Linked DNA regions of Drosophila melanogaster. The protein of the gene in region 2 interacts with the protein of the main gene of each other region in a pairwise test. Each region holds a gene or a part of one and is shown on either strand. Other genes may lie near its edges.

Region 1 (3,414 bases), about 17 Mb from region 2:
GCTTCCAGCCTGCAATCCTGTAAACACAACTAGTTAGTGAATCATACCAATTGCTTATACAATTTCCAAATATAATTCGGTCTACATACAATCACCGTGGAGATGATACGAAGTTCTCTCTAACTTACCAAACGCCACCGAAGGCTTCTACCCAAGCGATGGAACCGACGCAGTCCTTGCGCCTTAGATTCAGTCGCACTCCTCCAGGATGCATAATCTCGCGACGCAGCTGCATCACTTGCTGCTCCCGCAAAGTCAATCGCTTGTTGGGCGACTGCTGGGCGGGATTGGTGCTTGACGGAGGTGTTCCCTGTGGCGGTGGCTGCATACGAAAGGCTCCGTTTCGGGATGGCGTAAACTCGTTATTGTTAGCGTTACGCTGCGTTGCGGGCTGAGGGACCCGCTGAAGTGGAGCCTGGGCATCGGATGTGGACGAACTGCGTCGCCGCTGCTCCTGGCTGTCACCGGTTACAATCGAGGTGTTATTCCTTTGCGTTGGCGTAACTTGGGTACTATTGGAGCTGGAAGGCGTGGATTGTTCAATGTTGTTATTCGCGGCGCTGGTTGACTTGTGCGATGTCTTCGTTTTCAGTGGCGTGTTCAACAGCTTTAGGTAGTGGAAATCCCTTCTACTTGGCCGCGAACTAATGACCAGTTCGGTTAGTCCTCGGGTCAACTGCGGCGTCGCCCTGCCGGCTGCATTGGGGGTCACTGGTTGCGCCGTTGCCGGCGAAGCCAACCGACGACGTGGCAAAGCTGGACTGCCATTAGTCACTGGCTGTGTGGTATTCGTGTTTGCCACTCTTGTGGGACTGCTTCTGCTGGTGATCGGAATGCTGGAGGAAAGGAAGACCTTCTCGTAGTGGATATTACCACTGATTATGGAGTCACTGCCCTGTTCTGTATTCACGCTAATATTCGTAATGCCCGAGGTGTTGGCACTGAGTATTATCTTTTTACTTAATCTGGGCGTCTGCGGCTTGGCAGGATTAACAGAGGAAGAGGCTGCGGAAGAACTGGGTGCACTTCCTCCGGCCGCTGGATAGCAGGTGCCGTAGACAGCCACCTTGGTGGTTGCGTCTCCGTCACCCAACACCTTTACTTTCGTGGTGCCCGACACCTGTGAACTGGAGCCATTGGACGAGCTTTGCTTAACGGGCGTTGTATACGGATTGCTGCTACTGGACTGTTTGCCAAGGACTTGAATGGTACTGGTACTGCTACTGGCGTTGGACGGAATGATTTGTACGTTGCTTTTATACTCGTGATGGGTCTGGATTGGCTGCTGCTTGGCATTAGTCTGGGGCTTGCTCTTAACCTCAGGGAATCGAAACACCTCAGCGGTGGTGGTGTTCTTGGGCGGCAGTTCGGGTGGATGTTCCTGGCCACTGTTGGCGGTATTCGACACTTGGATAATTGTGATGTTGTCCTGAGAGTCCGCACTGTTCGTAGGAGCGGCGCTCGAAGATTGGGATTGGAGGGGCTTGCGTTGCGGTCGCTTTGATTTGTCTGCCGCTCCAGCTGACATGGATCGCGATGTTTGCGGTCTAAAAGAAAACAGGAATACATTTTAATATTTGATAAAGAATGCTGACGTCATAGTAGGCTGATTTCTAAATCACAAGCCAGTTTGATATAAACAAATCTTGGAGACATGGCCAAACCGTTTTCTTTGACAGAGGAGAAGCTAGATGACCTATTTGTGCAGGAGGTTGTCAGTGTGGTGAAACTGGTGGACATGCTGCCCGATAAAGATAACATTGTGCCCACATGCACCCGATGGCTCAACATCTTCCAGCAGTCAACGCCGAAGGAACGCTTTTCCAGAAACTATATGCTACTGCTCCTTCATAAACAACTCAATGATCACAAATCGTTGGGTTATCCATTTACGTGGCCGGGCAGTTTCCAGTTGGATTTGCGCACTCTTCACCAAATGAGCCTAAAACCGAATCCCGCAATCGGCAAAGATGTTGTATGCTGCAAATTTGATGAAAGTTTGAATGAGGAGGAACAGTCTTCTTTTAGTTCATGCGAGAATATAGTGGAGGCCAATCGTAGGTTGGTCAAAGAAAACGCTGCACTAACCAAGGAGTCGATGGAGCTTCAATGTCTGATCGATAAGTTGCAGGTGAAACGCGCGGCGGACAAACATGCCATTAAAAGGATAAATGATCAGATTTACATGCTGGACAAGGAGAACCGATATCTGAAGCGAAATTTCGCCTGCTCCTCAATCAGCGCCCTAAAAAGACTATGCAATGGACAGGATCCGGCGATGTTTTTTGACACCATGTTCAGTGTTTTCTGCGAAGACGTATCAGACCACCAGCAGGTGCAGCACTTTAACGAACTCTTCAAAACCTTGCTACATGCCCACATGGATCACTACCGGCGACAGCAGCGTGCTCCTCTGATGGAGGAGGCAAGCCAAAGTTTTGACAATCTGAAAGCCCAGGTGAGCAAGAGATACAAAAATGTGTTGGGCATGAAATTGGATGCCGAGAGCCACGAGCTCACCCTCAGTGCCATGAGATATCTAGCCGTCCTGCGAAAATTGTTCAAGGCCACCTTTAAGGGCAAAGCGAGCACCAAGAAGGCAGTACTCAAGTTCCTGCAGCACAACTACGAGCTTATGAACGAGATGTTGTAGGATGGATTCACTCACCTGGGAATCAGTCGTTCGCATTGCAGAATGTGCTCCAAATTTAGGACTTGATCTACAATTTTAGGTTATATTTTGTAATGTTAGAGTAAAAATTAAATATATTTAGGTTATATAAAAAATATTCATACCGGCAGAAACGCGCTGTCCAGTGACCACCACGACGTCAACGCGAGCTCCATTCTCGGTAAGCATACATGCCTTGCGCAGCAAGGGCGACAGGTATTCGTCATCCGAGAGATTCAAATCGGCATCACTAGTGGTCGGTTGCTCCGCTGGAGGTTCCTCAGCTACAGCAACATCTTCCTGACCAGAGGCTGACTCTACCGACTCACTGATCTGCTCGCTGTAGGTGCTTATGGGATCGGAGAGCATGTTGAGGAGGTGCTGCGTTAAAGTGTTGGACATGGCAGCGGGAGCAGGGGCAGGAGGTGCAGGTGTGGTGGGCACTGGACTTGTTGGTGGCTCAGGAGGTGGTGCTGGCGGAGCCTGATGGCTGGGTGCCACCACACGCTCGACGCCCGGTACCAGAGCCGCCGGAACTGGAGGAGGTGGTGGCAGTGGCGATGTGGGATCCCGCGTGGGCAGCAACGGTGCGCGCACTTCAGGTAGCTTCGTGTAGAGGTTTTCGCGCGGCGACAGAATCTTCATTTCGCGCAGCTTGGAGCGCAGCGTTTCCACCCACTCTTGCATAATCTCCCTGCGAATAAAAAAGCGAAAGTGAGCTGTAAGTGGTGCAATCTTAATTG
Region 2 (3,754 bases):
TGTAACCACAATAGAAATGCCGCCTGGAGTACTCAATGATCTGAACAGGAACGGTATCCAGTGCATTGCATCAGTAACGCTTCTCCAGCGATTCCCGTATCATCGGAACCACCACACCATCCCCACCATGGACCAGAACCGACCCACTGTGGGTGGTGTTACGGCGGAGGTACTAAAAGCCGTCGTTTCGGAAGCTCTGCTGGGCAAATTCACAGCTGTTTTCCCAAAGCTTTTCAAGTGCCAGTGGAAGACTTACGAAGGTCAAAAGAAGGTTAGTACATAAGCAGACGAACTTCGAGGTGGGTGTGTGCTCTGTGCCGGGATTAATCTCGAATCTGGGAAAAATCTGAGTGGAAAAGTCGACGGCGAGCCTCCAGTCATCGAGTTACCCACTTGAAATTATCAGTTCCAAACACTCTAATAGCAGTCCCCTTGTTTTGTCCCCCGATCCGCAGTTCTACGCCAATTTCAGCACCGATTGCACCGACAGCAACAGCAACAACATGAGCCGAAAGTTCTGCGTGGGAGGCAACTGGAAGATGAACGGCGACCAGAAGTCCATCGCCGAGATCGCCAAGACCCTGAGCTCGGCCGCCCTCGACCCCAACACGGAGGTGGTCATCGGCTGCCCGGCCATCTACCTGATGTACGCCCGCAACCTGCTGCCCTGCGAGCTGGGTCTGGCCGGCCAGAATGCCTACAAGGTGGCCAAGGGCGCATTCACCGGCGAGATCTCCCCTGCGATGCTGAAGGACATCGGCGCCGACTGGGTGATCCTGGGACACTCGGAGCGTCGCGCCATCTTCGGCGAATCGGACGCCCTGATCGCCGAGAAGGCCGAGCACGCCCTGGCCGAGGGCCTCAAGGTCATCGCCTGCATTGGTGAGACCCTGGAGGAGCGCGAGGCCGGCAAGACCAACGAGGTGGTGGCCCGCCAAATGTGCGCCTACGCCCAGAAGATCAAGGACTGGAAGAACGTGGTGGTGGCCTACGAGCCCGTCTGGGCCATTGGCACCGGCCAGACCGCCACACCCGATCAGGTAAGGTCGCCCGCAGAGGCTAATCTCTTCCAGAACTGATATTTTCCCTTCCCAATTGCAGGCTCAAGAGGTCCACGCCTTCCTGCGCCAGTGGCTGAGCGACAACATCTCCAAGGAGGTGTCCGCCAGCCTGCGCATCCAGTACGGTGGATCCGTGACCGCCGCCAACGCCAAGGAGCTGGCCAAGAAGCCCGACATAGATGGCTTCCTGGTCGGAGGCGCCTCCCTGAAGCCCGAGTTCGTGGACATCATCAACGCCCGGCAGTAAGCAACGCGATCTCAAGCATCAGATCGCTTTCGGCCAGCGAACTGCCCGCGAAGGAGGCACTGGAGGGCAGGACTCCATACTCCTGCGCGCGAATGCATTACGCACACACCTAGTTGTTGTCACCACCAAGTGCAGTTCCAAATTCATAGTTACCTTGCGAGAATGCTACTCACATCCTTGTTGTTGAACGTATAGTAGTCCATTGTGTAAATCTTAAATTATTCAGGCAATAATTATGCGCTACTCATTTACTTATATACCAAACCAAACAGGTGTCTTATTTTTTGCAAGACTATTTCAGCTATTTTTAGAGCGATTGGTTGAACGACAAGGTGTCCAAAGTTGTGTGCACATATGTACATATATGTGTCACCTCTGCGGACCTTAAACCGAACAAGTTATTACTTAATTTCTGATAAGCATGCGAAATGGCAAATATTTGGAATATGAGTTCCAACTGAGTAATCGAGGCAATCATTGTATTCACTTACCTAACAAGTGAATCAAATCATTTGCATCATGTTTTTGACAATATCTTGCATAAAAGCCTTCAAGAAGAAGCAATGCATCATAAGATAGCTTAACTTGAGATAAGAAAGGAAAACAGTTTGTACTTATTATACTTTATACTTATACTCAGAGTTCATTTCTAATCGAAGTGTTCGAAGATTGTGCACAAAGTTTGGCAAATATGGAGCTAAACAAGGCAATTTCTTTGTAGCTGATAAGTTATTTAGCTTAGTAAGTAATTTATGGTTAGTAAATCAACAAAATATTATTCAGTTTTTCTCAAAACATGAACAGGCTGAGAATTCTTGAACCCAAGTGGCCTTAGATACATTATCGATTTGACAAGCTCTAGTTCTCCGTTTTTGAGCTTTTTATTGTCATTTCTGATCCTGAACACATCGATTTTATTCAGACTGGAGTTTTATATCAGAACAAATTAAATAAGTTTTTAGCCAAATCTTTAGAGAGTAAAGAAAATTTTAACTTGGTTTTAGCGATAGTTTCCCTAGAAGATCAACATGACGCAGTACTATGTCTTTGACGTTATCCTTGTGAACTCCAGTTTGCCGATTCCCCGCAAGTCCGCCAGTTTCAGTGCGGGTGGGAGGCCCGTCTACTCGGTTCGATTGTTCGAGGACTTTGAGGAGCTGTCCATGGAACGCATATTCGTGGATCAGTTTCCCACAGAGGCATTGGGTGGCTTTACCAGCAGTCCCTGTGAGCTAATAGGAGCATTGACATCCAAGGGCGTAGGCGTCACTCTCAAAGAGAACGACGAGCTCATAGGATCGGGCAACGCCACGCTGGAATCTTCAATCCTGCGCCAGCTGACAGACCCCAGCTTTTCGGTTACCCAGAGTGTTACAGTTCAACTGACCAAAGGGCCTAAGAACGACCGAGTGGGTGAGGTGGAGCTACTCCTAAAGATCAGCTCCGCTTCACCGGATATAAAGTAAGTGGTGTTAACCAGATAGGGGAAATGTAGTATTCCTATTAAATCACAATCCTCTCTAGCCACGGCTTGATTCCCTTTGGCTGCTATGACGTGTGCAAGCCTGTGGATCATTCGATCAACAAAAAGGATATTATCTTCACCCTGGGACGCTCCGGAAAGTGTGCAACGAACAGCTGCATCACGGATGAGCGCCTGATGTCGCACGCGGGAGCACCCTTCCAATGTCCACACGCCGCAAGTCAGAATCAGGAGGATCAGGATAACAAAGGCGGTGCCTTTGCCAGATGTGGGTGTTTCCTGAAAGGAATGCAATTACCTCCGGATGTTGGCACGGAGAAAAAGAGAGAAAAGGCCGCTCTGAAGAAGCTCGTCGATGAACTGGGTCTAGACGAGATAAAAGTACCCAGTCCTCCAGACACACACGAAAAGTCCCGTCGTTGGCATTGCAAGTGCAAGCAGCCGAGTTCCAGCACAGATACTTCCTCCTGTGACACCAATGAGTTCACAGCGGAAAAGCCTCCTAGAAAGAGAAAGGCCATATCCTTGACTGCCTCCATGGAGCGGGCTGCTCGTCGAAGACTCATGGGCACCTGTCCTGTAAAAGAGCCTGTTTTAACACAGGAGGCCTACAAGCCACCGAATCTCTGCCAGCTCTGCCGTTCGGACATCAGTTGGCTGCCCAAGATCTCCGCCTGTCCCTACTGTGGCTACAAAACCTTCGAGGACATACAGCCCAGCGAGCAGCCCTACGATCTTACGGCAACTGCCCAGCAATTGCTAAGGGACTGCCTGCGCAAGGAGACCTGTGAACTGGACCCGTCCAAAGGTGATGATGAAGCCATGGGCGACAAGAACAAGGATGATCCCAATGTTCCGCAGCAATGTGGCTGCTTGGGCGGGAAACCCTGCACTCGATGCCGCATCCGGAAGCTCTGCGACAACTTTTTTAAGGAAAATGAGTGCAAGATTGAGCCACTCCCA
Region 3 (3,754 bases), on a different chromosome or scaffold from region 2:
AAATACTGAATTTACAATCGTTTCCATTACTTATTGAGCAAAGGAAGTAACTCGGTCGCTCGTCAGTTTGCGTAGACTTGTTGCTAGTTTCATCCGAGAATCCCGACGATGTAGTTTCTGATTCCGAAAACTCGGTTGGAGTGCGCTTACGTGTTGAATCCAACATAAGGTCAGATTCCTTTGAGCTGTTAACAATTGTTTCTGATTTTTTGCCTTGACTGGACTCGGTCATGGTCTTCCCATCTGGATTGCTGGTGAAGTTGCTCTTGACCGCATTCGAGGTTCTCTTCACCTCCACCAGAGCTTCATATTTCTCGACTAGGTCCCGATAAGGATTTGGTTTGTCGCTAGAGTTGGGATTGAGGTCCTCGGGAATCCGGAAGCGTTCCTTATAATCCGCACCACTATTATCGCATTTCGAGGTGCTTTCGCTTAGTATGCTGCGATCGTCATCTTCGTAGATTTCTTCGGTTGGGGCAATGGAGGATTGATCATCCATATTGGTGTTGCTTTCGTTAATATCCCTCAGGCAGCGACTACACATTTGGCCTTGTCTCACGTCGTCCAGGAGGCTGAACTCCTCGTGCATCGACATTGTTCCCTCATTGGCACTGTTCTCCAGCAGACGTGTCTGCAGACCTTGGTTGTCTTGGATTATGGTCACCAACTGCTCCTCCAGCTCGGTGCACCGCTGCTGTTCGGCCAAGAAGTCACGTTTTAACACCTCCATTTCGCTGAGCAGCTTTACCAATTCCTCGTTGTCTTCACCCTTAACGGCGGTCCTCTCGCACATGGTGGCATTACTGAAGGAGATATCCTCCAATCCTGTCGAGTTCGCTATGGCCATAACATCTAGTTTGGAGAACTCAACACTCTGCTCCTTGCACAGCGATTGAATGCTGTGACTGGACACAGAACCCTCGGTCGAATGCTGCATCCTATAGCGTTCCTGCTGGTACTGATCCACCTTCCGCCGCTCGGTGCTCAGGGATTGCCGAGCATCGCTCAGAAGTTGACTCAGTTCCTCGCAGCGGGCTTCCAGGACTTCCGTGTTGGTGGTCAGCGTCTTAATCTGCTTCTTGTCCCGATTCTTCTCCAGATTTAGCCGCTGATTGGCACGCTCCAGATCCTGAATGCCCACTTCCAGCTGCTCGTAGACCTTAAGCCGTGAATCATTCACCTCGGTCATCGCATTAATGTGCTTGCGCAGATGCAAGATCTCCAGTTCCTGCTCATCCCCCTTAATCTTGTACTCCTTGATGAAGGTTTCCAGCTCCTTATTGCGTTCCAGGAGCGTTTTTCCCAGCTCTGCTGCCAATTGTAGGTCATCGAGCATGAACTGCGATACGTTTTCACAGCCAGCCGAACCGTGATTGGATTCCTCCATCTTGGACTTGGACCTTTCTAAGCTTGGGCTTGATGCGAACTCTGGCGAAAATTTAAAGATTTAATCGATTTTAGTTCATTTAGCAGCAGAGCTTTGTGAGCAAAGCAAAACTCAAACAGTAATTACTTGGCAAATGTCCTCTCAATGGTGGAAAACTGCTACAACAGTAACTTTTTTACTGTTTCATCCCCAAAAACAAAAAGTATGGTATTGCAGCGAGTGCAGAAAAAGCCCTACGTACTAGGGCGCAACTGCATGTACGAATAGTTAATTAATGCTTTTTATTATACACAATCGACCTGCAGACAAAGAACCGAAATGAACTTCCTAGCAGAACCGGAAATAAATTTATAATAGGATTATTCGCATTAGGGGGATTCCTGCTCAGATAGGGCTATGATTTAAGCTCGCCTTTCTTATATAACCCCTCGCGAGTTGTTTGGGGAAACCTTGTTGGATTCTGAAATACCAGCAAAATGCACGGATGTATAATTATATTTTTGAGCTTTCATTGTCTTTGAAAGAAGCATGCAATATCATAATAGATCAGTACATGAATACCCATATTAATTATTACGCATATTTATAGTTGTCAAAATTAATAAATCCAAATTGTTATGTCTCCTTAGTAATTCCTTTGCTCACAGAAGCAAAATATTTGTTTGAACATTATTAATTTAAGTTACCCTAGAATTTGGCGTATTTAAAGTTCAGATACCATCTAAGTTTAAATATATCTAGGAAGTGCAACCGATAATGTGTGGGGTGTTAAAAATAAATATATATATTAATTATACAAATATTTAAGATAAGTAATTATTTGACGCTACCTTATCGCAACGATAGCTTGGCTTTAATTACCAACCACCGCCTGGTCACACTAAGCGGCCGGCGTTCTTGTTTTGATTTTGTGTTTCTTCCTTTTCTTAATTCGAGGACAGTATGAGCCCCCCGCCATGCTGGACGCTCTAATTCGGGCAGCGGAGCTTGTGGATCTGGTCCTGCTGCGTCCGCTGGCCAGCGTGATTGATGCAGTGATTACTGGCGTGTACTACTTCCTGTGGGGCAGCTACCTCGTCGGCTTCTGTTTGGTGGAGGGCAGCAGGAAAGGATGGAATCTGTTGAGATGCGCGGTCAGGAATATCAACGAGGGCATCCGCGACTTGGGCCTCATCACGCTAGATGTGGCGGACTACTTCTACGGCGGCACCAAAGGCGGGCTCAAGAATGTACTCGATTTTGGTCACTGCATATCCCGATTCATCTGCAACTTACTCATCGATCTGGGTGATGGCATCTTGTGGCTGCTGATGCTGCTGCCGAGGGCCATACTATTCCTCTGGGACTGCCTCCTAGACTTTGTGGTGCACTCAATCGTGGCCCATGGCTTGAGCTTGCTGAACAGTGCGTTCCGGGCCTCGATAGGATTGGCCCTGCTCCTCGTTCTCTATATGTTCCGCCGCTATGTGTACCTGATGCTCATCTACCTGCTGCAACGTGGACGCATTGAAATCTCGACGAAGACGCAAAGCGTTTACCTATGGACCCATCATAAATTGCAACACTTCATACACAATGTTTGGTATGTGTCAGAGAACGCAGGATCCGCGAGTCCAGAACGCTGTGTCGTGTGCATGGCTCAAAGCAGGAACGTAGTAGTCATGCCATGCCGGCACCTCTGCCTCTGCAAAGAGTGCTCCCTGCAGCTCGTGCTCCTTTTAGAAGACCGCTGTCCTGTCTGCAGGCACAACATTACGTCGTTCCTGTCAGTTTACGTTTGATATATAAGACTGCCAATTGGAATTTAACTTATAAGTAATTATGATTCTCAGAAGTTAACCAAATGTCTTTGGTTAAGACACTTGTAATAGAAAAAACAAATAATCTTTACAAAGCAGAACAGACAAAACATTTTAATGCAGCTTTCAATTCCCAGACACCTAAAATATCAAGTAAAACAAGTTAAATTGTTTTATGTATTTATTTCAAACCAATGAAAATATACGATTTGTTTTGTATACATTTATGTAAATACGGTTTGGTTTTGCGTATAACTAATTTGCTCAAAAGACAGATATAGAAAAAACGTTTGTTTTGGGCTTACATCGTTTAAGTATATATAATTAAAGATTAAATCGAAATGAAATGATTCGCTTTGCTTGTTATCGTATTGCAGAGTTAATTGAATTGCAAGTTATAGTTCTTCCATCATAACACTTATATGATTTGGGTTCTTAACTGGTAAATGAAACGATCAAATAAGAGTAAATTACACAACTGGCAATATAGCATTGGTAGTACCGATGTCTATCAGATAGACATTTGTGATAGCGTCTATAGGTTTCACCTCTCTTTCTGCTTTCTGCA

The links.
Region 1: the proteins of CG31029 (region 2) and CG14383 interact in a two-hybrid assay, tested with the Drosophila melanogaster proteins (one large-scale study listed by BioGRID).
Region 3: the proteins of CG31029 (region 2) and Cen interact in a two-hybrid assay, tested with the Drosophila melanogaster proteins (one large-scale study listed by BioGRID).

Annotation. Positions count from the first base shown.
Region 1 is NT_033777.3:12,986,739-12,990,152, reverse strand, and holds CG14383 (uncharacterized protein), read left to right. Parts: upstream 1-1,641; 5' UTR 1,642-1,654; coding exon 1,655-2,653; 3' UTR 2,654-2,668; coding exon of another isoform or gene 2,669-2,720; 3' UTR 2,721-2,777; downstream 2,778-3,414. Other genes in the region: CG31342 (uncharacterized protein), read right to left, coding at 1-17, 129-1,547, 2,669-2,720, 2,797-3,365.
Region 2 is NT_033777.3:30,130,796-30,134,549, reverse strand, and holds the start of CG31029 (uncharacterized protein), read left to right. Parts: upstream 1-2,154; 5' UTR 2,155-2,336; coding exon 2,337-2,770; intron 2,771-2,832; coding exon 2,833-3,754. Other genes in the region: Tpi (triose phosphate isomerase), read left to right, coding at 17-271, 456-1,040, 1,102-1,308.
Region 3 is NT_033779.5:20,680,106-20,683,859, forward strand, and holds the start of Cen (centrocortin), read right to left. Parts: upstream 1,742-3,754; 5' UTR 1,514-1,741; exon of another isoform or gene 1,429-1,513; 5' UTR 1,388-1,428; coding exon 1-1,387. Other genes in the region: CG2617 (uncharacterized protein), read left to right, coding at 2,344-3,168.